Linked DNA regions of Tamandua tetradactyla. The protein of the gene in region 1 interacts with the protein of each later gene in a pairwise test. Links are inferred from orthologs where the notes say so. Each region holds a gene or a part of one and is shown in the gene's direction. Other genes may lie near its edges. The genes, in order: TNIK, DPYSL2, MYT1L and NEFM.

Region 1 (7,506 bases):
TCCAGTCATAAGGATTAAGGCCCACTCTGATTCCATTTGGCCTTGAAGTAGGATCTTCGGAGTTCCTATTCACACATGAGGAAACACCTTAACAAGCAGTAACATCTTCAAAGGTGCTATTTGCAAATGAGTTCACACCCAGAGGACTATGGGATTAACATGTCTTTTGTGGAGGGCATGATTCAATCTTTGTGGTAGGCTGAATTATGTACCCCAGAAAAAAAACATGTTCTTGATCCCATGCCTGTGGCAGTGAACCCATTGTAAATGGGACTTTTGAAGATGCTATTTTTAGTTGAGGTGTGTCCACCTGAATCAGGATGGGTCTTCATCCTGTTTCTGGGGGTCTTTAAAAGAGAAACCACAGAGAAGCGCCAGAATGGAGGAGCTAGAAGTCAGAAGATGAAACGCAGGCATCAGATGGACCTCAGAAGAGACACTGTCATGTGATGGGAAAGACAAGGCACCCCAAGATTGCCAACCTGCCAGAACAACTACCCATCCCACGAGGAAGCAAGCCTTCCAGTTTACAAAACCATGAGACAGTGAATTCCCATTACTAAGCCAACCCACTATGCATCTACGTCATAGCAACCAGGAAATTAAGACAATTTCCAACAAAAGGCTTTATCTTCACAGCTTAGAACTGTATCTTGCACAGAGTGAGCAATCTGTATATTTGCTGAATGAATCAGAGAATGAATTACTGCAGTTCATTGGTCACTCACCCAAATAAATGTGCCTAATCCTAGATCCATTGCCCCTAAGCTTGAAGCTGCCCCTGCTCTCACTCTAGTCCGGCCCCAGATGGTTTTTGATTGTGGCTCCATTGGTAATCCAGTCTTGCCTGTTTTATGTAACCTAAGAAATCCTCTGAGTTTCCGGACTACTGGGGCTGCATTTTTGTGTCTTCTAGAACTATAATGAATTTTTTAAAATATCCTTTTTTGTTATATCTAGGGATTTCTGTTATTATAGAAGATGCAGGGAATATGCTTTTAGAAGGTACACAAGCGGTATTTCAGATCCCCAGTGTGATTTTAGGTGGTGCATGATTTGACATTAAATAATACTGAACCTAAAAGCGAGAACATTACCCACTTAGGGATTTTCTTTCTTTTTTATAAATATTTAAAAATATATAAACATTTTTCAAATATACAGAAAGAAAAAGAACAATACCATGAAATCTGATCACCAACCATCCCGATTTAACAATTCCAAACAATTTATCATATTTGCTTGAGGTCTTTTTGCTTTTTTAAGACAAATTAAATATTGTTGAAGCATCCTTTGTGCCTTCCCATTTCTTTTTCCCTTCTCACTATGCTAAGGCTGAGCTGTCTCCTTTCTGCCTGTGTCCATGCTTTTCATAGTTTACAACAAATTTATATGGACATAAAATAGCATGTAGTATTTTTCTGCAGGCTTTCAAATTGTACATAAATGGTATAAATTCTCTCAATCTTCCAGACTACACCAAAGAGGAAAATTGTACTTTGGTTCACGTCTTGAATGCCTTTTCTGGCATTTACTAATCTCTCTTTTAACAAAGTGAAAGCAGGCCTCAGCCTAAAAGCCCGGGGCAAGCGATGATAGCTAGCTTCAATTTAATAATATTCATTTATTTTCCATTATGTTTATTTTAATTGTTCCTTTCTATTTTTTACCAAGTGTTGCTAGCTTTCCATGTACCATAGTGATTTATGTTTCCTTTTAAATTAATGTAAGAAAAAAAGTAAAGTATTGATTTAAAAAAAAGTTTAGCAATAATAACAGTACAGGTATACACAGACCTGACAATAAGTTACAAAGATTGTACTGGAGTAGCTGAAATTTCATACACACTTGACCTGGAGGATAAAGTTCAAGGTCCTCATTTGAGCATGCAAAGCTCTGCCTCATCTGACCTCTGCTTACCTCTCCAGTCTTTTTAACAGTCACCAGCCTTACTTTTCTTCTAGCAACACATCTGCTTAGAGTTTCTCCTCATCTTACCCTAACAGCTGGCGGTGCCTTCGCTATTGTGATCATCCCCCTTGTATGGTATTGTCTGCAGCCAGTATCCCCGCCTCCTCCTCCCCTCTCAGCTCCTCTCAGGCCCCTAGGACGCCCTCTACCTCACCACTGCACCGAAAGCAGAATTTCCTAACCAAATTCTGAATCCAAGGATAGAAATTTGATGCCCGTTATCATTGCACACTCATGGCCTGGACAGCGTACTAATGCCTAAAGAAGCGATCCGTTTGTGACATTTTGAATAAAATCTGGGTAACAAAATCAAGATGCTTTATGGAAAACAAACAAAGCAACCACATCTTTACCCCATTTTTTCCTGTGTTGGAGGTTTAAAAATAGTTCTATTTATAGATCTCAATGTCTGATCCTTATTTTCTTTCAACATGAGTCAATACATTAATTTTCTAGATGAAGGACAAAAAAAAGGGGACATAGGAGGGAAGAACAGGAAGATGAGAAATGAGCTTTTTCTTTTTACGTCATTTCGCAGAGCTTGGGGGCTTACTGCATGTTACTTACTGCACTGAACCGTGTGGTTGTGTTAGAAAATGAGAGGTCACAACAAGCGCTTTGAATATAACACGTTAATACGCTTGAAAATAATGTTTAAAGAGAAAGCTCCCAAACAAAACTGTTATGAGATTTTAGAGCAGCTTTCAAGTTTCATACTGAATGATCCACAATGTATAGGAATAAATACGATAATATTAACAAAAACAGTACAGCACACACCAATGTTGTTTAAAAGCCCCCTAATGTCTGGCAGTCAGGCTGAACTAACTGGTTTGGCTTCCATTCATTCAGTCAAGATCCTTACTCGGAGGAAGCTGAAATGCACACCACATGATTTCAAAGTCCTCAGTGCACTTGGCCAGAAGGAAATTCTCTTCCTATCAGAGGTGCAGAGAATATTTCCAAAGTTACTACTGTATTTGGGGAAAAAGTTCAGTTTAAAGCGTTTTCTTCTTAAATATCTAATGGAGCGTGGCCCAGGCCTGAGAGGAAGGGCTTGAGGGAAGTGATTTCACACCCTCGATTACAGAATGCCAGGATTACCACTGTAAACATTCGGCCTTGCAATGAGAAAGCGAGTGAAGGGCAATTGTTCTCACGCGTACATCTTGCCTGCTAACATTTTATCCTCCGGCCAAACTTTCTCCACTAGTTCGGATAGGTCAGCGGAGGAAACGCTGGCTGAAAAAGAAATGCAGAATCTTGGGGCAGCGTGCGCTGCCTCAGCCAGTGCTGCCTTTGGACAGTTACCTGGAGCACAGAAGCAACTACAACCTAAGCACAAGCTTCTCGGTTCAATTCGGTCGTTTCCGTGGGGGAACTGCGGCAGGGGCAGGTCACGGGTGTGGCGAGCCCAAGCCGGAGCTACGATCTCCCGGGTTTCCGGCTTCTGGCAAACGTCCCCTGCCCCGAAGCGGCGGGGGACAGGCCATCCCACATCCCGGAGACCGCCGGAGGCCCCGAGCCACAATCGCTGCAAACTGCCAAATGGGGCTGGGCGCACTGTATGCGCTCCTCTCCCTACTCGCTCGCAGGCTGGAGGCGGATCTCCTCTTCCTGCACACAAGTCCTTATATGAACCGGCTGCACCCACCGCGTAACTCCGGCCCCACAAATTCATGATGGGGGAGGGAGGCCGTTGCTCTTTCTGCCTCCGACTTTTGTCAACGCCAGAGCATCTTGAGACCCGCCGAGAAATCCCAGTGTGCGATGGCACGGGCCATTTTGCTGCAGCGCACGAATCGAACACAAGAAGAAAGCCTTGTCAATATGATAAGCACGTCAGGGTTCAGGATCAGCCTTTGGGATCCAGCCCGACGCGCCCGCGAGAGCCTGGGCGGAAGGGGTGCACCCCTCCCCCCTCGGTGCTGGTGCGGAGGACCGGTCAGGAAGCGCGACCTCGCCCCATTCCGAGACCACGCCTCCTCCGCGTCCTTCCCCCTCCTCCCCTTTACTCCTCCCAGGAAGCGGTGATCGACAGCTCGGTGTGGTTCTCCACCCCCACCCCCAAGCTGAGTGGAGGAGTTGATGTGTCTCATTATAACAGCCAATGCAGCCGCCATCCACGCACAAGCAAAGAAGCATGCCCCATTTAAATACACCCACGCAGCCCTAGCGCCCTTAGCCGATCGGGGCGCTCAGCCCACACGCACCGCGGCTCCGGGCTTGGAGATCGGCGCAGGTCGCTCCCGGACCCGGCGGACAGGCTCGCCGAGGATCGGGATCCGACGCTGTGGGGGGTCGGGGTGGGCGGGGGAGGCTGGGCCCGGGGACCTCTGGCGCGACCCGCTCATGAGGACGCGAGTGAAGTAGAACCGAGGTGGAATTTGCAAGGGAAAAGCTTTGAGGTGGTTTTGGTCCATTTTTCCGGAGAGGAAGTCGACATGGCGAGCGACTCCCCAGCTCGCAGCCTGGATGAAATTGATCTCTCGGCTCTGAGGGTGAGCAGAACGCGTTTTCCGATTTCTTTCCAGTGGTTTCGGGCTGGGTGAGTGGGCTCGGTGCGGGGGCTGGGGCTGACGGGCAGAGGCAGGGAATGGAACCGGCAGGGAACTTGGATTGTCGGTTGGGTCCGGAGACTGCTAAGGTGCTCCGGGATGAGTCGCGGTGGCAGGGACCGTGCGGTACGTGTCCTCCTTTGGCTGTGGCTCAGACTTCTGTGAGAGCGCGTGGACCTTATGCCAGTTTCATCTTAGACCAGTGTCAGAGCATTAAAATGAAAGACTTACTGGTGTGTGTGTGTGTGTGTGTGTGTGTGTGTGTGTGTGTGTGTGTGTGTGCACGCGCGCGCGTACACGCCCAGGGCAGCCGTCTTGTGCCAAGGCGCGAGACCCGACTATCCCTTTCTGCAAAAAGAATGATCAACGGCGTGAATAAAAGGCCCCTGCTCCTCGCGTTTTGCAGCTACCTGCAAGATGACATTGTGTGCATGACTGTCCCCACGAAGACGAACCTGCTGCCCTAAGGGGCCAGCGATTGCTAGGCTGGTCTTGCAGCTGGCCCCTGCCTCCCCTCCCCGTCTGCCTCCTGAGCCCCGGCACCCTTTCCGCGCTCCGGGAAATGTCATTCTGCCACTCACCTTTCTGTCTGCTTTTCACTCAGCCCCGCCCGTGCTTTCTGACTTTGTGGCTGTGACAATTTAGCTTGATGGCTGCACTCAAGCAGGTGAACGGCAGGTCTTTTTCTGCTACCACCCCCACCTCCCATCGCGCCGGAACTCCCGGGAATGTCTGTTTTCCTTGTGTCTGGGGCCAGTTCTTTGTAGCGCCCCCCCTACACCTTCCCCCCCACGGCCCCGGCCCCACTGGTTTGCCTTTCCCTCGGCGCGAATTGCCTGAGATGCCGTTCCATTGTATTGACTAAGACATCACTGGTACAGAATCCATTTTGCTGTTGTTTTGAGATAAGAAAACCAGGAATCCCAGTGCAGCCTCTACGCTTCCCCACCCCCCACTCCCAATCCCAGTACGGTCCTCAGGGGAAGGGGGCAGAGCTTTCTTGCCATTTTAATTAGATGCTGCCTGCCGAGAAAAGAGTGAGGAGAAGGATTGGGCACCGATTTATGGACGATGGCTTCCTCTTCTGAACCAAAAAAAAAAAGCCACTGCATGTACTTGGTGCATTGGAGGGTCAATGAGACCGAATGGATGAGGGGCTCTCAGCACAAACACGCAGGGTGGGTGACACACTGAAGTTCACACATGCCCTCGCAAGGAATATGCCGTTCAGACTGATGCTAAATCTTGGGCCGTTTACCTGACTCCGGAGTTCTGACTTTGCTTCGGTCTCCACGAATATTTTAAAGAGTTCCCACTCTGATCAAAGCGGTTTTATTTTTTTCTTTAGCCTCATTAATCCCACTCTCTCCAGCCCCCCCCCCCCTTTTTTTCTAACTTCCTTCTCCCACTCTAAATTCTTCAGTCCATGAGGTGAGGTTTCAGCAAGGCAGTCAAGGAATTGAGAGGGAACAGAGATGCCATTTGAAACTGGCTGTTCTAATAGTTGGGCAGCAAAAGCTCATTCATGTGCCATTACAGTAAGCTGTTTCTCTGGTGCTGAAATGCCACGTTCAGAACCCGCTGTCCCCTGGGCAGCTGCGGGGACTGGGGGCTGGGGAGTGGGGAGGGAAAGACGGAGGTTTCTTAACAGGGTGGGTGCTTTGGCCAAGTCTGTGGTTTCCTGCTTTAGGGGCTGTGTGTGTTCATTCGCCCTACTTTCTGCCCCAGGCATTGCTGTGGCCGCGGTTAATCAGGTGGATGGGTGGCCCAGACTTGGGGGCGGGGGAACAGTTCCTGGGGACAGGAGCTGAGCTACCGGCAAGGTTGGTGATGTTTAGGAGGCTGAATCTCAGACACCGCTCCTCTAATGCAAAGCACTCCGCTGTGATTTTAAGTTGGGCTGAGATGTGTCCTCCTGGGATTTTTCCTCGGGAAGATTTTCTGAGACACCCAAGCACAGAGCCTGGAGGCTACCAGCAGCGGGTTCACCCAGCCAGTGGGGTGTGCGGCTCACACTTGGGATACCTGCGCTTGTGAAATTTGCATTTTGCAAAGGTATTTTTCCAATAATACCTGTGTGTGTGAAATTTGTATTTTGCAAAGATATCTTTCCACGATTCATTGGTATGGCTCTTTGTGGCCTGCCTGCAGTGCCAGTTTAGTGCAAAACTGGAAAGGGGGAGGGCAGTAGCACCAGAGATTGAGAAGTGCTGGCTGGTGGTGAACTTCAATGGAGATGGGAGACAGTCACATCCCCGGGTGCTGGGGGCAACCCACAAGTCTCGTGGGGGCATACAAGCCAGGAGAGGGTTTAGAGGCCACACAGGTAATCTCCCCAAATCAGAGGGCAGATCGTCGCTGTCTTTCCAAATTAGGAGAGGTGGGCTCAGCTAAATGAATTTGTTCCCCAAGATCTCAGAAAGGCCTCTGTGCCAGAAACCTCCTGGGGAATGCCTGACCCCTGAAATGCAGCCAAGGTCAGTGGCTTCTGGGAGAATTTGCTGCAGCCTTACCAATCCCTTGCTGTTTCTGTGGCTCTCTAATGTACACAATCAATGCTCTTTTTGTAAACCCTAGGCTCAATGCATTAAAACCAGCTCATGTCTGGAGAAGGCTTTATCCTCATTTTGGGGGTTTATTGTTCTCAGCCAGTGATCCTAGAGCTGGACCCAGTCTAATTTTTCCCTAAATAGTAACAATGCATAATTTAAACCAGGGCAACCAGTGACAGCACTTATCATTTAAATTATGCAAGGTTTGCATGGTTTTAAAAAGTGAGATGAAGCAGGATCTTCTTTAGTTAGAAAATAGATCATCTGAATCCGGTTTACTTAGTCCTGATTTTTAGAGCTCACAAAGATAAACTAAGTCTTGGGGGAAGCAGGGAGAGTGTTTTCATAGATTCAAAGCTGAAAGAGAATGTAGAGCATTCAGTCACTCCTTTTATTTAACACAAGGGAACGCCAGAGAGGTAAAG
Region 2 (8,053 bases), on another chromosome or scaffold:
GACTGTCATATTTTATTGGCACCGTGAACTTATTTACACATATAGCTATTTAACGTTTCACATGTCTAAGCCTCCCCTTAACCAGACTGTAAACTCACTGGGAGCAGGCACGTGTTGGGTTGGTTTATGACTCACAATGCCAGGTACTCAGAAAGCCTCTGCTGATTTGAGAAAGGAAAATAGATGATAAATAAATACTAAACTATTTCACAGAAGATGTATTTTCTCAAGTCAAGTATTTTGTCTGTGGTATAAATTTTGGTGTATTTGATGTATTTAAAGTAAATGTGAAGTACTGGTACTTCAGATTCCTTTAGGCTTACTGTCTAATATGTGGAATCTTATCTTTTGTTATTAATAATTTACATAGGGTTCAAGAAGCGCTCAGATATTTTTTTCTTAGCAAGACTTGACTTAAATGCCTTGGATTTCCATCCAGTACATTAAAAGAAGGAAACAATGAGAAGGCCTCAGCCTGATAAAGGGACTGTCCCTAGGCCCACTTGCTGTGGGTCCTGCTCCAAGCTGTCCTCAGTTGTCTGCCTCATCATCCTGATGGCCAAATCCATCCCCATCAACTGGATCCTCAAGGTACTCATTTTCAGAAGAGGCCTCTTCCTCCTCTTCTTCCTGTATCACTTTCACTGACTCAAGGAAACTGGGGGATGGTCCCTAATCTTTCAGCTCCCTAAGCCGACACCAAAGTATTTCACTAATGCTAGCCCCAGCCATGACTTGTTCCAAATGGACCTGATGTGCAACATTTCTAGTAATCGTACGTTTTTCCACAGCTCTTCGGAGCAAGGTTTCTAACTGTAGCACGTAGGTGGAGCTTTTTCTCCTTCCTCCTGATAGGTCTTCAGATATTTAACCTATGAGGTCCTGCGGCTCTCCAGGCTTCCAAACACTAGTTTAAATGCCTCCCAACACTCCCCCACATTTATGGACGGATTGTCTGCCTGCACTACATGTGTGAGGTCCATCACGGAGCCACACACACATCCCATCAGCCACCTTTTCTTTTCTGCCTGTGGTACCTGCCATTCGTTGACAATCTTACTGGCCTGTTCACTGAGCTATCAACATCTTTCTTAAGCTCTAACAAGACAGCACTGGCATTATCCTGCCGCCTGAATATTTTCCCAAGCAGTCTATACCTGCCCAGAGACTTGACAGTGCCCTGAATCTAAGCTTCATCACAGTCCACTGGTGTCCCCATAACCAGCAGTGATTTCTGAGCATCCAGACTCATTATCCTGCACGAGTCCCCTAACAGTACCAATGCCATTGTCCCAAATATTTATTAAAGCTTTAGGATTTAAAAAAATCCAGAATGAGCTCCCACATTTATAACCCACCCATGAATGGGTCCCACGTTGGGTCACTCTAAAAGCTGTCTCAAAGTCTTCTGGACCAATAACTCTTACTTGCCCAGTGGCAAACCAACAAACAAAAACTCAGTACTTCCTGTTATGTCTCTAGAACTGACCCAAGATGGGTGGATTGTATCTCACTTATAACAGTGTCCCTTCCTGTGGCTCCGCAGTCCCATTGCTGTGGTTTCTCTCACTGATGCTGGCAGACATGTAGTGATGCAGATGCTTCTTTGATCGCTGATATACTTGAACAGGTGCTTTCACCAATGCCTCCGGGTCTCTGATGCTTCACCTCTTTCTACTCAGCGGTGAAACATCTTCTGTACTGAGGCACAGTCTAGTTTAGGATGCTAGTAGGGGTTGACCAGGGATCTGCCTCACATTGAACTTCTATCTAGCCCACTCTATCAGACCCCTTCTTTGCTAATAGTGAGTCTTTTTTCTGGGGACCCTCCTGCAATCTGCTTCCCCACCAGATGCTCTCACCAGACATGCCTATTACTGTCTGAGCTCCAGTTATGGAAAAGATTCAAGATCTTTCCCACATTAACAATAAAATCAGTTGATGTAGTTGGATAACCGTTCAGGTGTTCCAGAATGTTCTGCGAATCAAGAAGCTTATTTATTCTGCTTCTTGCACAGGAAGGTGTCATGCAACTTTGTATGATGGTGCATCTCAGTCTTAGCTCTAGTCAAACTGCCTGTTTCATATAAAGAATTACAATGTATTTTTATGGCTCAAAAATTTCCAATGATGAAGACTGTTTAATACACTTATTAAAGAGGATGACAACTGTCTGCAACAGATATTGAATTGCTTGATTTCTTTGATTAAAAAAATACCCAGTAAGGAACTGTTCAAACATTTAACAATCATACGAAATAGAAATAACAGGGAAAAAATCTCAGCATTAAAGAAGTTAAACTTGGAATTATGAATGGATTCTCTTTTGCTATGTATGGTCAGGTTTTGCAAATGCATAACTAGGTGTTTCTTTTGCTATGACTGGTACATTACTAGCACAACACTAGGAGCACTCCTAGCACTTGAACTTAAATGGGTCATTTGAATAAAAAAAGAAAAAGGTAAGAAGCACATCAATCATGCTTGTCTTGGAGAATGAGGAAATAAAAAACAAAGAGTTCCTAATGCCTACCAGTTTCTACAGTGGAGTATGTGCGAAGGTGCTAAAACCATCATTCCTTGGCATGAAATCTCCATCAATCTGTGCAGGGTCCTTATGCCACAAATGTCAACCTGTAGCTTTCGCTGCTGCTGTTCCTGCACCAGGCATATATCTTGAGTACTTCTGGGAGGTAGTGAAGACACCCTGACCCTAACTCTCTGAGCCTCTCTGACCTCTCTTTTCCATGCCTCACTTTCCCGTTCAAAGACATGGGGAGAACATCCTCCTCCACTGGAATATTCAGAGAAGACTCTGGATGTAAAAAAGTCATTGAATGCCCAGGAAGAGATATCCATCAGGTCTAAGTAATAACTAAAAGGCTGAGATTGTACTACCTTGAAATGGCTCCTCCTCCCAAAGGCAATCCCTACCTGCAGTGTGACCCTCACATGGAAAGATGGCTAGTGAAAAAAAAACGCTATTGATAAATAATAGGGCCACGGATGGAAATATCTGGCTATGGGAAAATTTTTAAAGCCTTATATTTTCTCACATAGTTCAAGAATGAGGAAATGAACTAGACTTTCAGGTGGAAAACCCTCAATGCAACTGCTGTACCATTTAACTGGGTATTAACCATGGGTAAAGTCCCTCCACCTCTCTAAATTTCAGTCTCTTAACCTGGGATATGGTCAGGATTCACTGGTCCCACTCACCTCCCAGGGGTGCTGTAAGTAGGAAACCATGATTCATGTGAAAGCACATGCAAAGCATATTCCATGCTAAGTCCAAAATGCTTGCCTGCGGTTTTCTCACTCCTTCCTCCACAGGTCTATTCTTCTTCCTCACTCACTCCTTCTCATTCAGAGTCTCTTACCCAACGTCATAGTGGGCTCCTCTTCAAACTGTGACTGGATGCCCTCCAAATTTAATCCTATTCACCAAACCGTCATTCACAACGGAGGTGGGGAATCGGTATTCTATCGTTCCAGAGGCAAGGAAGGATTATCAATGGGACCCAGCCTGGGCTCCTGCCTGGCACAAAGGGCGTGTACTAAACCGCTTCTTTTAGCCTAAACCCACCCTGATTACTGAGCATGCCCAGTTCTCCCTCCCGAGCCGCCAAAGGATAGGGTACCATTTCTGCAAGATTTGCCACTGTGGAAAGAGGGGCGGGGTTGCACGCGACCAGAGGCTAGGATGGATGGCGAGTAAGCAGTGAAGAGCCCGCGGAGGCCTTGTTACTGGCCCAAATCAAAATGCCCGTTGGAGGCTCACCAACCTGGGGGCCGTTGTTGGAACATCCGCACTTCCAAATTCGTGTCTGCACGCCCTCCCCACGCTTGACCGTACACAATTCAAGGCATTCTCTCACGCCCCCATTCCCCACCGCTCAGTGGACGCGGGCGCGAGCACTCAAGGCGGCGCCTGGCAACCTGAGAACCCCGCGGCGTGGCGCAGTGCGCAACAGGGGCGGGGGGAGTCGAGGCGGGTGCCGGGGGCGCGGAAGGGGGCTGAGGATTTAAGGAGTGGGCTTTGAGGTGCATTTGTTCCCGCTTTGGTACAGGTGGAAGATGCCAAAGAAAGGCACTCTTCTTAGCCCTTCTTGGCGCAAGGGCATAGATATGGCACATGGCTCCCTCGGGCACACAGCGGCTCGGCACCTTCTCTCTCTTTACAAATCGCTGCGCGCGAATTTGCAGACTGCGCTCTCTGCCGTACTCGCACAGACTTCATACAGTCATTATACTCCCCTCTGCTACGCCCCTCGGCATTTGTCCCCGCCATGTTGTGCGGCCCCTACCACTGTGGATGCACCAAGCGAGAACCTTCTCGCGTCAGACCCACCAAGGCCCACGGGTAGACCGAGGCTCTGGTTCCCCGAGCCTCGGATGGACGTCTCCTCTCCGCGCTGCCACCTCTTCCCCCTCCCAGCGCCGCCCCCTCCCCCGGATGTCCTGGAGCCTCCCAGTTTGTTCCTCTTTCCACATCCATCAGCTCACACCCCGGCTGATGGAGAGGGAGCCCTACCTTCCGCGTGCACTCGCCCCCGGCCCACCCCCGCGTTGCCGGGCAGGTGGGGGAGAGAAGTGTGGGGACCCAGGGGCCGCCCCCTCGGGTCCTCGCCTCCACGTGCCCTGCCTCCCGACTCACCCCGGCGGCCGAGAGCGGTCACGGGCCCTCGGCTCCGCATCCATTAGCCGGTGGTCCGGCCGCTTCACTTCCGGAGCGCGGGGCTCTCGGCGGCGCTGCCCTCCCCGCCCCCCTCCTCCCGGGCCCCGGGCCCCGCGCCCCGCCCCGCTCGCACCTCTCCTCCCGCCGCCGCTGCCCGGAACCAGCAGCCTCTGGCACCCGCTGCCGCAGCGGCCGCCTCCCGGGCCCAACTCCGCGGCTCGCGGGAGCTCGCGAGGCTGCGGGGGGCGTGGGCGGGGAGGGGGAGAAAGCGGGGTCAGGGGGAGGGACTGTGAGGGGTGGGACGCCCGCGCGGAAGCCCTCCTTCCTTTCTGTGCACCTTGCGGTAGGCAGAAAGCGACAGCCTCGGTAGCAAGCAGGGGGTTTTTGTACAGAGAGGGGGAGATTTAGGGACCGGCAGACGGACGGACGGACGGACTGGAGGAGAGCATCCACCCACGAGCCCCCGCGCCATGGCCGAGAGAAAGCAATCCGGGAAGCAGGCAGAGGACGAAGAGGTCCCTGCCTTTTTTAAAAACCTGGGGTCGGGCAGCCCCAAGCCCCGGCAGAAATTCTGCGGCATGTTCTGCCCGGTGGAAGGGTCCTCGGAGAACAAGACCATCGACTTCGACTCGCTGTCGGTGGGCCGGGGCTCAGGGCAGGTGGTGGCTCAGCAGCGGGACGTCGCCCACCTGGGCCCGGACTCGCAGCCGCCGTACTCCCGGCAGGGCCGGCGCGCCGCGGGGGAGCCATCTGTTGAATCGGGCCGCAAGGTGGAGATCCGGCGGGCCTCGGGCAAGGAAGCCCTGCAGAACATCTACGACCAGGTTGGTATGGGGGGTGGGGAGGGGAGGGAGGACGGGGCGCGGTGGGGCCTCCCTTCCTTCGTCCCCTTCCAGCTCGGCGGAGATCCGAGAATCCCAGCGTGCCCCCTTCATGCCCCCCTCCCCCCACCTCTAGTGTGGCCTCCCCGCATCTGCACACACACCCCACCCTACCCCGCCCCTTCGCCACCCAGGGTGCGGGGACGCTCCGGCTCAGCGGTGGGCGGCTCTCCGCCCACAAAGGCTGCCCGCATCCATCTGGGCCTGGGAGATGGTGTTTGAGGGGTACAGGACCAGCCGATCCCCGGCTTGGGATCGCGTTGTGGGGTGGGGTTGGGGAGGGGTCGCGGTTCTATTCTTAAATCCTCCCGGGCGGCTTCGGATTGCAGCTGTGGCTGGTGCCCCACCCTTTTTTGCTGCAGCTCGGAGCGGGCAGTGGAGGGGTTTCGCATGAAGGCCTGCGGGCTCCCCCGAGGTCGGGAGGGGCCGGCACTCAGAAGGCCGCTCCCCACCCCGCCCTGCTTTCTCCTGCCCCACCTTCTCGGGAGCCTTCTGAGCTCGCGTCCAGGACCATGGCCAGCGCCTCCCTGGCCCGCCTGGGAGACTCTCATCACCCTAAACTCCTGTTCGCAGCATGAGAAGAGCGAGGAAGGATGTGGAATCACCCGAGGATACCGAGACGCTTCTAAATAGCGTCTCTGGAGAACAGAGTTCCTCTAAGTATCTCGACAAGGGCTTCCCAGAGCTCTCCCCATGCCGCGATTTGGGAGGTTCTTTGGGGATAGGGACTAAGTGGATTATGTCAAAGGATTAAAAAAGAAAAGAAAAGAGGGAGAGACTTACATTTCTAATAAATTGTCGAAGAGAATACCCTATACGGTGTTAATGGGGAAACAAAGAAGGCCAATTTGGTAAATCTTGATTTTGGGAAATACCTATCGCTGTCCGACAGATATGCGCAGTGTGCATTGTAAATGCAGCAGTCTTCTCACACCACAGTTTTTTCTTTATTGGGGTGACCTTCATAATTGTGCAATTTTTTTCACAGCCTTAATTTCTTAATTGATGCTTTACTGTTTAAAATATTTTAAAACTTGTTTGTTGTTTCTCTCCCATGCCCATTGGTTCTATCTAGCTTTTGGTGAAGATGAGAACTCAATCAATGAATGATTATTTATTGAATACCTTGTCTTGTGGGGCAGAAGGAAGGTCAGCTATAAAAAGTTCAAGTTAGTTTCTTCTCCTGGAGGGGCTTCTAGAGTAGTTGGGAGTGGCCTCTGCATATTCACTAAGGAGTTCCACAAGCATTTGTTTGGCACTCAGATTGTATGCTTACAGTGAAAGCATTAGAGAACAATTAAGAGTTGGTGATATTGGCCCTAAGGATGATACTGTTTCTTGATATGGCATGGCATTTTGCACTTTTTCATTTATTTGGGATTATCTCCAATTCTAGGAGAGATAAAGCATTTGCTCTCATTTTTTAAAAGGTGGGGCAATTAATCACTTACTTTATTCCTTGCCCCGTCCTCTGATTTACTCAAATAGGGAAGGATCTCATATCCATGCCTCACTGTGTATCAACCAGATAAACATAAATCCAAAACTCTGTTCCAAGTAACTATACAATTAAAGTAGAAGTTTCCAATAATGTAACATATACTGAAAACTGTGTGTGAAATACTCCCATATGTGAATGCATTGGGTAAGGGCCAAGGTCATACAGCATCATGGTTGTATGAGCATCCTTATGCACATCAACTTGTGTCGGTAAATCCAATATCCTAGAGGGAGCCAAAGAATATCTTGGAGAATAAGGAAGAGATCATTTAAAAATATGGCAGATGGAGGAATATTGAGGATGGCTGACCCTACAATGTTGGCTGTGAAATAAAACACAAGTTTGAAAGACAAAATTTCACTGGGTTAAAGAACACATCTTTTCCTGTCCATTTAGAAGCTTAGATGTTTGCTCATTAGATCTACTTGTTTGAACACTCTCTAAATTAAATAGAAATTTTGAATCGTAAACCTAAGGCACAGGGAGAGGAGTATTTGAAGAGATAATATCTGATCAAAACCAAGGTAATTTTAGCCTTTGCAAACCCATACTTGCTTCTGTTGCCTGGATATTTTGTAACAGAGGGTGATTCTGGCTTGGTCCTTCTGCAGCTCTCCCTGAATTTTAATTTTCAATCTTGCTTTATAAGCTCAGGACCATTCTCATAGGACTTTTTTCACTCACAACTAAGAGCACTTATTTGGACCAGTGATTACAGTGTTTCAATATTTCATATCTTTATAAGAAAGAAAAGTTATTTGGTGTGCAGTTGTGTATATGTGTATAACTATATTAATTTCCAAAAGCGCAGTTGGGCCCACCATTTTGATGGAATTGACTAATTATTACTTAGCTTTCAGTTAATGAGATGGCCATCCATGATTCAGTGCATTCCTATCAGAAGGCCTGGTACAGAGAGAAGTGGGAGAAAGCTAGAGTGGGGAATATGGGGCCCCTGACTAATAATCTCCCTCCTCCCCTGAATCTGGGTTT
Region 3 (7,304 bases), on another chromosome or scaffold:
CTTCCATGGTTTCTGCTGAGAAATCTACACATAGTCTTATTGGGTTTCCCTTGTATGTGACAGATTGTTTTTCTCTTGCTGCTTTCAAGATCCTCTCTTTCTCTTTGACCTCTGACATTCTAACTAGTAAGTGTCTTGGAGAACGCCTATTTGGGTCTATTCTCTTTGGGGTGCGCTGCACTTCTTGGATCTGCAAATTTAGGTCTTTCATAAGGGTTGGGAAATTTTCAGTGATAATTTCTTCCATTAGTTTTTCTCCTCCTTTTCCCTTCTCTTCTCCTTCTGGGACACCCACAACACGTATATTTGTGCGCTTCATATTGTCATTCAGTTCCCTGATCCCCTGCTCAAGTTTTTCCATTCTTTTCCCTATAGTTTCTGTTTCTTTTTGGAATTCAGATGTTCCATCCTCCAGTTCACTAATTGTAGCTTCTGTCTCTTTAGATCTACCATTGTAAGTATCCATTGTTTTTTCCATTTTTTCTTCTTTGTCCTTCACTTCCATAAGTTCTGTGATTTGTTTTTTCAGATTTTCTATTTCTTCTTTTTGTTCAGCCCATGTCTTCTTCATGTCCTCCCTCAATTTATTGATTTGGTTTTTGAAGAGTTTTTCCATTTCTGTTCATATATTCAGCATTAGTTGTCTCAGCTCCTGTATCTCCTTTGAACTATTGGTTTGTTCCTTTGACTGGGCCATATCTTCAATTTTCCGAGCGTCATCCATTATTTTCTGCTGGTGTCTGGGCATTTGATCAGATTTCCCTGGGTGTGGGACCCAGCTGGTTGAAAGCTTTTTCTGTGAAATCTCTGGGCTCTGTTTTTCTTTTCCTGCCCAGTAGGTGGCGCTCGTGGCACTCGTCTGTCTGCACGGCAGTCAGCCCGGGAAATCGCGCGTGGAGGCGGGGGTCGCTGGCCGCTGCAGCTTGGGAGAGTGCCGGTCCTAATTGCCCAGCTGGCCCGAAACGCCAAGCGTGACGGGAGGGCCCCGCTATCCAACGTTCCCAGTCAGACCGGGGAGCCACGTGCGTGGAGGGGACCCCAGTCGCCAGCAGCCCCGGCCGGGAAAACGCGCGCCCCTCGGGTATCTCACCGCAGCAGATTCTCCCTGCCCGTTCAGCTGTTCCAGAATGGGGTACGCTGTCTTTTTGGTCTCTGTCGTGACTCTGGGAGCTGTTTCGTATTGTTTCTGTTTCTTTAGTTGCTTTTCTGGAGGAGGAACTAAGACCCGTGCATCTTACTAAGCCGCCATCTTCTCCGGAAGTCCACATTATGTTTCTATTGGAAAACATTGATCTAGACCAATTTTTCTTAAACTTCAATGTGCATGTAAATCACCCATGAATTATATTAAAATGCAAATCTGATTCAATATCTCTGGGATGCAGCCTGAAACTCTGCATTGCTAACAAGCTCCCACATGATGCCAGCATTACTGACCCTTATCCTGCTTGGATGGCTCCTATGTAGGATCTCAAGAGTAGAACGCAATAGAAGACAATGGCATTTTCAGTCCATAATTAAGAAACAGAATTCCTGCTTTGTAGTGTATTGAAAGATAAAGCAGGACTTGCCCATTATTACAAATTAATGAGGCCACACATTTAAAACACATTATTAAGATGTTATTCTTTGAAAAGTTTCTTCCACCTCAATATTATAAAAGGACAGGTAAGTTAACAGTGCCAAGAAGAGCTCATTTTTATTAGTCTATTTACTCATTTGATTCCTGAATGATTTAGAATCCAGAACAATTTAGTTGTAGGTGCATGGTGTAGGCAGAAAAGAAAATATTTCTTGAGCTAGAATAATAGAGTGTTTAACATGGAAAAGGGTCACCTCCACATGGATGGCTCAGAGAGTGTTTTAATGAGTGAAAGAGGATATTGCAAAGGGAAGAAGACAGGCAAAAGATGTTGCTTACAATGTCAAAAAAGCCATGATGAGAGGTAGACCGGAGAAACACTTATACACCATTAGCATGGCTCAAATCTTGCAGAAACAAGCCTTCAATGATGCCTGTTTGTGAGCACATGTCTTCGTGTTCTATATTAACATGTTTTTATCTGTCATAATTCTTAGGTACAAGTGAAGAATCAAATTGGGTCATTTAAGGAGAGAAGGCAATTGATTTCAAAGATATTGGGAGTTCACAGAATCCCCAGAAGTGAAGAACAAGGCAAAAGGACTTTACAGCTGTTATCAATGTCCCACATCACACAATTGGAAAAGTTCAGTCGGTATATCATCATTGCATCCTCTATGCACAAGCTACAAGCCTCATTCTAGGACCTCAGTCTTGATGCAGAAACTGCTGCTACCAGGGAGTTCTCCCCTGCCACCTACCAAAATTTATGATGGAATTCCCCAACAAAGGATCAAAGCAGAATAAATGTCCACTATGTTCTATTCTTTATCTGTCCTACATCAACATACATCCTTAAAAACTACTCTGGTGTATCTTAGCGTGTTTATCTCATGCACAAATTTGCCCTCACTCTCCTCAAAATGTAATAACCTGAACACATTGTGCCCAGCTCCAAATGTAGCACTTCTAGGTTCTCTTCACCCCTCCTCTAGTTCTGTCATCGTTCTAGGTCAATATGCTTTAAACTCTAGACTACCAATGTAATAATATTATGGGGAAAATGTAGAAGAAAGTGGAAAATTAATTAAACTATATAAACATTCATTTAACCCAGCAAGGAAGAAAAAATAGAGAGAAAATATATTTCTTGTTTCTATAATTGTCATAGTTGATGTTTATAACACTCCCACTCTTCTAGTAAGTCCCTATTATCTTTGCCTTCAGCCTCCACTCCAGCTAGTCAGAGTTATTTATATTACAGTATGACCCAAAATGTCTTTACTGAGAGAGATGAGTCCTGAGTGTTCAGTCTGCATAGGACAGGTTTAGAATTCCTTTAGCTTTTACCACTGAACATAGCATCATTAAAAGATGTCCCAAAGAACCCCCTTCATCCATTTATATTTCTCCTTTCCTTCTTTGCTAGGTAGCAGCCATTCTGTATTCCTTTAATAATTAAGAACTACCACCTCATCCAATGCCTTAAGCCCTATTTTGTAGGGAATACAGGTAAAGCATCTTGCCCTTCTCTTTGTAGACAAAACCTAGACATTCCCCAGAAAATTAGACCTCAATAACTTAATAAGGTGTCATGTGACTGCATTTCCATTGAATTCACCTCCCAGTCTCTGGTACACTTATATCTTACCAAGAAATCTAGAATGAATTCTAAGCCCCACTCTCTACGTCCTTCGAGCATTATGCTATTGCTAAAGTGGTTCAGTCCCATGTCCTATCAGATGGATAGGTGATCAAGTTGTCTACAAACATGAAGAGTTAATTTAATCTGGTACAAAGCCATGAGGATATACTTTTGTTCCTAAGATAAGAAAGAAAGCCACTCTTATTGATACCCTCTTATTGGAATAAAATCCATTTTCTTGTGTTTGGAGCTGTGTTTGTTTGCTTGACTACAGAGATTACATTCAGAAGACAGTCCTCAGTTAAGGTCCCTGTCATTCTTCAAGACCCCACTGTCTTCTGTATTGGCCAAACCAATGAATGAAAGGAAATAAGATAAGCATCTTCAGGTCTGTTTCTTCAAGACTTTGTCTGGACACTAAAATGCACGATTTCCCCAGTAATGCCATAATGCTTCTGATTTACTATTTTGTTAATCCATTTATTAGGACTACAATGTAGAGATTCTACCAACTGCTAAATGTATCATTCATCTCTACCCTTAAGAAATTGGAGAAAACATAGGAAGGATTTAAGACTCTTCTGAGCCTGTCCATCACCAGTGCCTCTCAACATAAAGTCTTATGAATTAGATCACAGAGATACAGGCAAACTAGTGTACAATAAAGCCCATAACGTCCTCAGTATTACAATTTTAGTTAGCTATAGACCTTAGTTTGCATTAATTGTATTTTTCCATACAACATCTATGCCAGTTTGAAACTGTTGCGTAACCCAGAAAAGCCATGTTGAAAATTTAACCCTTGTTGAAAATTGTTGGGTGAGGGCTTTTTGATTAAGTTGTTTCCATGGAGATGTGATCCACCCAATTGTGGGTGGAACCTTCTGACTAGGTGGTTTCCATGGAGATGTGTCTCCACTCTTGAGGTGGGGTTGCTTACTGGAGCCCTTTAAGAGGGAACCATTTTGGAAAAATCTTCTGAGCCAAGAGAGACAACAGAGCCAATACAAGACCCAGATGAGTAGAGATGCCCCTGAAAGTAAATGCCCCTGGGGAGGCTGTTTGAAACCAAAAGCTAGGGACCCCAGCAGACATCAGCCATGTGCCTTCCTGGCTTACAGAGGTGTTCTGGACCCATCAGCCCTTTTTAAGTCGAGTTATCTTTTCCTGGATGCCTTAGTTTAGACATTTTATAGCCTTAGAACTGTAACCTTGTAACTTAAATTAATAAATTCCCTTTTTAAAAGCCACTCCATTTCTGATATATTGCATTCTGGCAGCTTTAGCAAACAAAATGCCATCCCATTTTCCATATGTTTTAATTGTGATATTCATTTGTTCTCCCTTATGTAAAAAATTTCTTATACTTGTACATTTAATCAACATTATTGTTAACACTAGGTTTTGCTAAACTATACAGTCCCAGTTTTCATTCTCTAGCTTTCCTTTTGGTGATATATATAACCCTAGCCTTCCTGTTTCAACCATACTCACACTCAGCCTTGCTAATTACACTTACAGTATTGAACCACCATCACACAGTATTATGCTATCAATTTCTGAACATTTGCAAATAACCTTATTGGACATTCTGAACTCTTTAAGCACCGATTGCAAATCTCTGCTCTCTTTTTATCTCTTGATAACCTATGCTCTTCAATTTAAATCTCAGAGTTTCCTCATTATAGTTAGTTCATTTTAATAAGACCAAACAGAATTTGTCGTTTTGTTTCTAGCTTATTTAGTTCAACATAATGTCCTCAAGTTTCATCCATATTATTGCATGGATCATAACCTTATTCTGTCTTACAGCTGCATAATATTCCACATATGTACGTATAACAATTTGTCCACTTGTCAGGTGATGGATATTTGAGCTGTTTCCATCCATTGGCAAGCATGAATAATGCCGCTATAAACATTGGTGTGCAAATGTGTGTTTGTGTCCTTGCTTTCAGTTCTTCTGAGTATATACCTTGCAATGGGATTGCAGGATCATATGGAAATTCTATACTTAGCTTCCTAAAGAACCGCAAAACTGCCTTCCAAAATAGCTGCACCATTCTACGTTCCCAGAAATAGTGAATAAGAATGCCTACTTCTCCACATCCTCTCCAGCATTTGTAGTTTTTTTTTCATTTTTAAACAATTTTATTTACACATCATATAATCCAGCCAAAGCGAAAGATCAATGGTTCAAGGTTAATCACATAGGCATGCCTTCATACCACAATCTATATGAAGACATTTCCATTTCTTCAGCAAAGAATCCCATATCCCCCATTTACTGACACTTGGCTTTGGCATATTACCTTTGTTACATTCAGTGGAAGCACATTAAATGTTACTGTTAACTAAAGACCCTCATTTGCATTGATTATATCTTCCCATGTACCATCCAATTTTCAACCCCTTGTAATGTTGACATTCCTCTGTCCTTCCTCATGCAAAAACATCCTTATATTTGTACATTTGCCCACCATAATTATCCTCTCTAGACATGGTTAAGTAATACTATCCTAGTCTTTATCCTCATCTTTCCTTCTGGTGTCATTCCGGGTCCCCCAGCCTACCTCCTTCAACCATAATCAAACTCAGCTTCAATCAGTGTACTTACAATATTGTACTACCATCAGATAGTAGAATGGTATCCATTTCTGAATCTTCCTAATCAGTCCTGTGGAATATCCTATACTCCTTCAGTATCTAGTGCCCAATCTCTACCCTTTTTCTATCTCCTGATAATTTGTTTTCTCAACTTGAACTCTCAAACTTCACTCATTAATGTTATTTCATATTAGTGAAACTATAGTGTATCTGTCCATTTGTTTCTAGCTAATTTTGCTCAGCATAATGTCCTCGAGGTTTATCCATGTTGTTGTATGATTCTAGACCTTATCTTGCCTTACAGCTTCATAATAGTCCATCATATGTATATACCACAGTTTGCTTAGCCACTCATCTGTTGATGGACATTTGGGCTGTTTGTTTCCAGCTCTGAACAATCATGAATAATGCTGATATAAACACCAATGTGCAAATGTCCATTTGTGTCCTTGCCTTCAGTTCCTCCAAACATATGCCTACTAATGAGATTGCTGAATCATATGGCAATTCTATACTTAGCTTTCTAAGGAATTGCCAAACTGTCTTCCAGAGAGTTTGTACCATTTTACATTCTCACCAACAGTGAATAAGTGTGCCTCTTTCTCCACATCTTCTTCAGCACTTGTAGTTTTCTGATTTTTTGATAATGGCCATTCTAGTGCATGTGAGATGATATTTCATTATGGTTTTATTTTGCATTTCCCTAATAGCCAGTGAGGTTGAGCATCTTTTCATATGTTTTTGAGCCATTTGTAATTCCTCTTCTGAAAAGTGTCTGTGTTGTCTTCCCATTTATTAATTAAGCTGTTCGTATTTTTGTTGTTAAGTTATATGATCTCTTTATATATTCTGGATAGTAAACCTTGAATTGATATGTGATTTCCAAATATTGTCTTGCATTGTGTAGGCTGCCTTTTTACTTTTCTGGAAAAGTTCTTTTATGCATAAAGTGTTTAATTTTAAAGAGATCCCATTCTACATGTATCTATTTTGTCTTTCATTGCTTGTGCTTTGGGTGTAAGGTCTAGGAAGCTACTTTTCATCACAAGATCCTTAAGATATTTCCTTACATTTTCTTCTAATAATTTTATGTTCTTAGTTCTAATGTTTAGGTTTTAATCCATTTTGAGTTGATTTCTGTAAAAGGTTTTTACATATTCTTTTGGATATGGATATCCAATTCTACGAACACCATTTATTGAAGAGGCTCTTCTCTCCCAGTTGAATTGGCTCAACTACCTTATCAAAGATCAACTGCCCATAAATGAAAGAATCTATTTCTGAACAATCAATTCAATTCCATTGGTCATAATATCTATCTTTATACCAGTAGCATGCTGTTTTGACCATTGTAGCTTTGTAATATGCTTTAAAGTCAGGTAGTGTAAGACTCCCACCTCATTCCTCTCTCTCAAGGTATTTTTAGACATTTAGGCCACCTTGTCTTCCAAATAAATGTATTGCTTTTTC
Region 4 (7,453 bases), on another chromosome or scaffold:
GGTGGTAAGGTGAAGGCATTACACAGCAAAAAATCAGCAAGCTCTGTTAAGCTGAAAGCTTTAGCATAAAACATGAAATTTCCAGATATAGAATTTAAAAACTGATTAAGTTTTCATTTGGAAAAAATATATAGATATAAAATGCTTTCAATTTTTTCAAAACTTCACTTAACTTTCCATGAAAAGCCACTGAAAGAAAAATAAGGCAATGTTCAATTAATAAATCATTCGGCAAGGGAAACAAATACCATTTTGGTAGTTTAATGTCAGAAAAAAAGGACACTGTGTTTAAAGACAATAGGGACATGCACGTCCCAATTTTCCTGAGAAAAAAATAGCCTTTCTCCCTTAAGATATTTTTATTTTGCTTTCAGCATTTAAAATCAAAAAGACCAAAACTCAAAAGCTGCTTCTAAAGTATGACATAAAAGGCTAAAGTAGAAATAAGTATTACAGGTTTTTTTCCTTACATTCCTACTCCAGCAGACTGAATCTCTAGCTTCCTATATCAACAGTCCTTTAAATAATTAACAAATTACAATTTATAAATGGTTATTCATCATGAGTTCCAGAATCAGATCCAAGCAAAAGGACCAGGTTCAATATATCACAGGAGGCTAGAAGAAAGTACAGATCAGTTAATCTTGGACAGAGGCATCCTACCAGTTTTACGGTGATTTCTTCCATTGGAACATCTTGCTTGTTGCCCGGTTCTCACATCTCATCCTCTTTGCATTTACATGTATCAGAAAAAAAAATTCATTAAAAAGAAATTTGTGGAAGCAGGAGAATAGGGAAGAAAGTGCACAACTCCTTATTTTTCCATCTTTTATCTTGACCTAATGAATAAACCTCTTATGCAAAAAGTACTTTCCCATTATTATTCAATGAGACCCAAAATAAACTCACAAACTACAAGGTTAATATTGTACTTTACCTGCTTCTATGTGTGAAGAAACACATAGATTGGAGCATGCTGTGTATTTCTCTATAAAGTGATTCAAAACAGACTGTAGCTTATGAAACAATCCAGAGATGATTTCATTTTAAATGGCTCCAATCTAAGTTGCACATGTAACTTCCCTACTTAGAATAAATTTCAAAAGTATCATAGCCAACCAACTCCATCAATACAATGTTGTAAATTAAGATAGAAATCCCGTGTTTATTTTCTGTCTTGTTAATATACTCAGAAGATTCCATAATCTTAATGACATTAGGGTAGCAAAAATGCTAAACCTTACATTTCTTTCTATAAAAAATATTAGGGTAAGAAGTGTTCATAAATGTGGGAGAAAAGAGGAAGAACGTCTGTGAAAGCTTTTTTTAAAAAGTTTTTACACTAAATTTATTGATGGGTATAACCTTCAAGTCACCTTCAGGAAGAGTGGTGGAAGTGAGTCTAATATAAAATTAAATATTTTGCTAAGTGTGGAGTTGGATCAATCCTTTTCATGCCACTAGAAGTTTTTTCCTTAATAAAATGACTGTTATTCTGCATTATGCTGTTGTGCCCTGACTGAACAATACTAAAGTACTAATTTCTGTTCAAGTTACAACTTTAAGCTATAAGCAATAGATTTAGCCTGAATAATTAGCTATTATTTTGTTTGTATGCAATGCTTACCTCCTTCTGGGACCAGTTGGAGGCTTAACAACTTCTGAGTTAGTTTAGATACAGGCAAAACAGACTAATTGTGAAGTTAGACGTGTGTTTCCTTGTAAATGCTTATCTGCAGCGTCATCCCATTTTTAAAGCCCTGAAGAAAATTAACAGAATAAGCCTGTCGGTTAACCATGTGCTCTCACTGCAGAAGTGTTTTCAGTGCATGAGCAGCACGACATTGCCAAGGGTTTTTATGTTCTTAACATAAGTAACAAGTAACTAAGGTACAATAATTTATATCTCCTTTTTCAACTATCCGATTACTGCACAGTCAGCATCTGGCCTTAATTAAATGACCTCCTGCTGAGTCCAACCCTGTGATGGACAGTGCTTTACAAAAGACTTTTTTCTTTCTCTTTCCTTTTTGTATCCATATGAAACTAGAAAATCCTGTTTTTCTACCATATTCATAAATCAATCCTCTTACTGTGTCATCTGTCTCTCCCCACAGGAGACATGGGGTCATCTCCTTGCCGGAGTAACCTGCCACTAAGCAAACTGGAACATTCTTCCCCACACACAGGCTACAATGCTGCAGCTTCACATTAAGGAACCAAAAGTAGCTCCTTAAATTAACTCTTTCTATTTCAAAATATAAATGGGCCAAGATATCTGATTAAACACAAAAACAAAAACTTTCACCAGATATCCAGGCCTGTTAGGATTACTTACTGATTAATATCAACTTGTCATTTAATGAAACAGGGACCAGACAAAGCCTGCAGTGAAAAGAAGGTAGTGAAGTCAGGAGTCTCTACTTTTCACAAGCTGTGGTTTCTTCTCGGCCACAGAAAGCATTTCACATGCAGTCAATTGTGCCTATGCTCCCAACAAACACTGTCCTTAGTCCTGCATTTTATTTTTTGCTTGGCAGTATTATGAACTTTTCACTTCCAATTATCCCCAAAGCACCACCCAAAATAAAGAGACAGTTTACCTGTTAGCAGTGCATCAGACAGCAGGAAGTCTGTGTAGATATTTTTTATTGAAATAAACATGTTTAAAGACATGGGAAATCTATTCCAAATCAGTTATTAACCTCTAAATGGGGAACTAAATTACATTCAAAAGAGGGAAAATACCTGGTTTTATTCAAGGTTTGCTGAATCTTTTTGGCAACTTTTTAATTAATTCAGATGCCTTTTCAGCCTTCACAGTTAGGTATAGTGAGTGCTGAACTGAAAGATGGCAAGGCAGTTGTTTATGATCAAACGAAGCATGAACTATATTAATATTACCCTGGACTTTTTATCCTAGCAGATTTTAAATCCCCTTTTCAAGGAATGCTTGACCTTCAAATTTGAGGCCCTATATCACAATTTTCTGCATTCATCGTATGTTAGGCAACTCAAAGTAGGCTACAAGGTTATTATTTCTAACTAACGAATTTCGGTTGTTTTCAAAATCCGCATCTGTTCATTTTGTCAACTCTGCATTGCAGAGAAGTCTTACTTAGCGTGCTCTCCCAGCCTGGCTCTCGCAAACAGAGCCACTACAGTCTTTAACTGTATTCACTCGCAGAGAAGGAGGGGAAACCCTGCCAACCAAACAGGCGATTCTGGGTGTCAAGCCCCCGGGGACGGCTAAATCTCAGGGCTCCCCAGTCTGGGAGCTGTCCTTGGTGCTGCCTGAGCCGTAGAGAGCCCGAGCGCCTTACCTTCTGCCCCTGCGGAAGCTGCAGACGTCCCCCACACGTTAAGCAGAATGTATCGCCATATCCTACTTTTTATAGAAATAATTACCCTAGCCCATTCTCTTTGTCCCCTTCCCTAACCCTTCGGCCGACCGTTCCTCAAAGTCTGTACCCCTCGCCCCTTTTCTAGGCCCAACTCCCCTGCGCTTACTCCTACCGCTTTAATAAAAAGATTGGGGGAAGGGGAGGGAGGCTTGTGAAGAAGAGGGTGGGGGAGGGAGAAAAGAAAAGGAGGGGGAGGGGGAGAAAGGAAAAGGGGTGGAGGAAAGAATAAGAAGCAAAAGGTCCAGGAGGAAGGGGCTGAAGGGTGAGTGGGACTAAGAAAGGCTAGAAGTGAGAGAGAGAAGTCTCAAAGGAGAGAAGTGATTAAGCACAGAAGATGGGCAAAGGAAAAAAGTAATGGAGAAAGAACAGAAAGAAGGAAAAGCCGTGAGGATAAGAGTGGAGAGAGCTAAAGAACAAGGGGACCAGGGTTTCTGGGGAAGAGCCGCCTGAAAGGCGGGAGAGATGACTAGACAAAGGAAGGGCGTTGGATGGATGTTCGCACCGAGAGAATAAAATGCTATCCGAAGGTGAAAAGAAAAGGAGGGAAGGAGATTGCGGGGCGACAAGTGGTCTGCAACTGAAAGGGGAGCTATGGGGGAGGGACCGGTCCAGGACAGCAAAGTCCCGGGTCCGTTGCGGCACCAGCCCACGTGGAGCCGGCGCTGAATCACCGCTAAGCCGCCCCCCTACCCCCACCCCCACACCCCAGCCCGGGTTGCCCGCAGTCTCCGCCTCCTCGGCCGCCGCCTCCACGGGGCGGGGCCCTGGCCCGGGACCAGCCGCCGCGGCTATAAATGGGCTGCAGCTAGGCCGGCAGAACGCTGTGACAGCCACGCACCCCAAGGCCACCAAGATGAGCTACACGTTGGACGCGCTGGGCAACCCGTCCGCCTACCGGCGGGTAACGGAGACCCGCTCAAGCTTCAGCCGCGTTAGCGGCTCCCCGTCCAGCGGCTTCCGCTCGCAGTCGTGGTCCCGAGGCTCGCCCAGCACGGTGTCCTCGTCCTACAAGCGCAGCGCGCTTGCCCCGCGCCTCGCCTACAGCTCGGCCATGCTCAGCTCGGCCGAGAGCAGTCTCGACTTTAGCCAGTCCTCATCTCTGCTCAACGGCGGCTCCGGGCCCGGCGGCGACTTCAAGCTGTCCCGCTCCAACGAGAAGGAGCAGCTGCAGGGGTTGAACGACCGCTTCGCGGGCTACATCGAGAAGGTGCACTACCTGGAGCAACAGAACAAGGAGATCGAGGCGGAGATCCAGGCCCTGCGGCAGAAGCAGGCTTCGCACGCCCAGCTGGGAGACGCGTACGATCAGGAGATCCGCGAGCTGCGCGCCACGCTCGAGCTTGTGAACCACGAGAAGGCACAGGTTCAGCTGGACTCAGACCACCTGGAGGAGGACATCCACCGGCTCAAGGAGCGCTTCGAGGAGGAGGCCCGGCTGCGCGACGACACCGAAGCCGCTATCCGCGCGCTGCGCAAAGACATAGAGGAGGCGTCGATGGTGAAGGTGGAGCTGGACAAGAAGGTACAGTCGCTGCAGGACGAAGTGGCCTTCCTGCGGAGCAATCACGAGGAGGAGGTGGCAGACCTGCTGGCCCAGATCCAGGCGTCGCACATCAGCGTGGAGCGCAAAGACTACCTGAAGACAGACATCTCGTCGGCGCTGAAGGAGATCCGCTCCCAGCTCGAGTGCCACTCCGACCAAAACATGCACCAGGCCGAAGAGTGGTTTAAGTGTCGCTACGCCAAGCTCACCGAGGCGGCTGAACATAACAAGGAGGCCATCCGATCTGCCAAAGAGGAGATCGCCGAGTACCGGCGCCAGCTGCAGTCCAAGAGTATCGAGCTGGAATCGGTGCGCGGCACGAAGGAATCCCTAGAGCGGCAGCTCAGCGACATCGAGGAGCGCCACAACCACGACCTCAGCAGCTACCAGGTAAGAACCGCGGCTGCGTGGCCAGCCTGCGCCAGCGCCAGCGCCGCGCGCCCCCGACATTCGCGCGCGTGCCCATCGCCCTCTCCGTCGCGCTCCCTGGTGGCCACTCGCCTGTGAGCGCGCGCGCACAAACCCAAGTTAGTTACTGCGAGGTGTCCTCGCCCGTCCGAATCCCGACCACATTCCTCCTCCATCCAATCAAACCCTCTTAGTTAAGAGTCCTGACCTTAAATAAATAAATAAATAAATAAATAAATGCTTCTTTTTTTTTTTCTAGGAATTTTTAGTTTTGGGCGTTTAAAGTAGTCGATAAAGCAAGCAACTTTAGGATAGCTTTTGCAGAAACGCACGTATTCTCTGCTTTCAGAGTTTTGATCACAAGAACTCTCAAAACTGGCGTCGGTCCAAAGAGCTCAGATGGGAAGAGCAGTGTCAATCGTGGGTTTCCCCATGCATGGCATGTTTTTTTGTTGAGACATTCTAGTTTGAGTGGTCTCAAGGCATGGGTTAGTCCAGGAAGTCTTATTAATCTTGTTTCTTTGTGTGAGAATTATTAAAATCTGAGAATTCCTCAGATTTAAATAATAATAATAATAATAAACCTGTAGGGCGATAACCAAAAGATTTGCAACGCTAGAGGGGGGCGAGGGAGAGGGGTGAACGAGAGGAAGGAGTGAAAGGAAGCTGCGATTTGGAAGTATGGGTCTACAGAGACTCCCTGTACCTGTTTCAGGATACCATCCAGCAGTTGGAAAATGAGCTTCGGGGCACAAAGTGGGAAATGGCTCGTCATTTGCGGGAATATCAGGATCTCCTCAATGTCAAGATGGCTCTGGATATCGAGATCGCTGCATACAGGTACGGTCCTCACTGCGGACGTGGCCGCAATACCAACCAACCGCACTGCAGAGGCTGCGGGAGATAGAACCTTCACTACTTAAAACAGGCTGGTTGCGGGGGGCTTAAAGCAGCAACTGGTTTTCTTAATTAAGAACTTTTTTCTAAAGAATTGCAAATGTGGTTTTACACAGTTTACACACAACTTTAAAAGAATAAACATTAGTTGAAATAAAGTGTTCGGAATTACATGTAGGGGGGCTGAAGAATTTCACCGTTATCTTTAAATTTTGTATTTTAGTGGAATGTTTTCTACATATTTGAAGCATAAACAGAGATTTAATGTTCAATATTTCACCTGGTGGCTTCAGCTTTTCAACTTTATTATTGTGTCAAGGACAAATACCAGGGCACTCTATTTCTCTTTTTCTCTGTTATAGCTTACTATTGCCATCATCTGGCTGAGAATATAGATTGATACATTGCAATATAAATATATTTATTTTATAGGTATATGTAATTTAGAGGCATTATATAATATATTAGGCTGTACGGTATAGATGATATATCTAGCTATATCCCATATGTATGTGGGTACAGATAAATGTATAGAAAAAAGAGAAAATAACATGTCTACTAATGTAAATTTCCTATTCACTAAGTTCAAAGGGGAGAAACCCTTGATTAAATGGTTTTTATACTCTCAATAAGGCAATTATAATATTACAGAATAAATTACACTCACAGAGCTATCTTTTCAGGAAAGTAGAATAATTATATTAAATTGGCACTGTATGATTGAAATGACAGACCAATTTATGACTTGATACACACATATTAGTGCATAGCTTTAAACTGATATGGTTTAAGTCCTGGAATCTGCTTAGTATTTAAAATTTTTTTTGAATAATTATATTTGCTAAAAAAAATTTAGTATACATACTGAAAGTACAAATGCTCATGGAGGTTGCTAAGTTGTTTCTGGGCACTAGGGAACTTTTTTAGCATACTCATGTTGCACCAAATGGAATGCTGCAAGGTTATGACTTAGAGCTGGGTGTGGTACATTACTGCAGCAAGCAACTGGTTGATGGCCAAGGAGGATCTGTCACTGCCACTGAATATGACACAAAATGTTGGTAATACAGGAATTAAACTAACTTAATGGAATATTTTATTTACGCGATTCCATTTATTCAAAGGTGGCAGCTGCATTACCCATAGTGAAACTCAGGACGTCCAATGAGATTTTAATTCTGTCTTGTCTTTTCTTCTCTCC

What was found.
Region 2: the proteins of TNIK (region 1) and DPYSL2 interact in a two-hybrid assay, tested with the Homo sapiens proteins (2 studies listed by BioGRID and IntAct). The link is inferred for Tamandua tetradactyla from reciprocal best matches to the Homo sapiens genes TNIK and DPYSL2.
Region 3: the proteins of TNIK (region 1) and MYT1L interact in a two-hybrid assay, tested with the Homo sapiens proteins (2 studies listed by IntAct). The link is inferred for Tamandua tetradactyla from reciprocal best matches to the Homo sapiens genes TNIK and MYT1L.
Region 4: the proteins of TNIK (region 1) and NEFM interact in a two-hybrid assay, tested with the Homo sapiens proteins (2 studies listed by BioGRID and IntAct). The link is inferred for Tamandua tetradactyla from reciprocal best matches to the Homo sapiens genes TNIK and NEFM.

Annotation. Positions count from the first base shown.
Region 1 is NC_135331.1:68,894,799-68,902,304, reverse strand, and holds the start of TNIK (TRAF2 and NCK-interacting protein kinase), read left to right. Parts: upstream 1-4,283; 5' UTR 4,284-4,415; coding exon 4,416-4,472; intron 4,473-7,506. UniProt on the Homo sapiens protein: Serine/threonine kinase that acts as an essential activator of the Wnt signaling pathway. Recruited to promoters of Wnt target genes and required to activate their expression. May act by phosphorylating TCF4/TCF7L2.
Region 2 is NC_135329.1:27,475,724-27,483,776, forward strand, and holds the start of DPYSL2 (dihydropyrimidinase-related protein 2), read left to right. Parts: upstream 1-5,018; 5' UTR 5,019-5,148; coding exon 5,149-5,502; intron 5,503-8,053.
Region 3 is NC_135329.1:46,579,761-46,587,064, reverse strand, and holds the start of MYT1L (myelin transcription factor 1-like protein), read left to right. Parts: upstream 1-4,191; 5' UTR 4,192-4,266; intron 4,267-7,304. UniProt on the Homo sapiens protein: Transcription factor that plays a key role in neuronal differentiation by specifically repressing expression of non-neuronal genes during neuron differentiation.
Region 4 is NC_135329.1:25,784,746-25,792,198, forward strand, and holds the start of NEFM (neurofilament medium polypeptide), read left to right. Parts: upstream 1-4,257; coding exon 4,258-5,337; intron 5,338-6,070; coding exon 6,071-6,195; intron 6,196-7,453. UniProt on the Homo sapiens protein: Neurofilaments usually contain three intermediate filament proteins: NEFL, NEFM, and NEFH which are involved in the maintenance of neuronal caliber.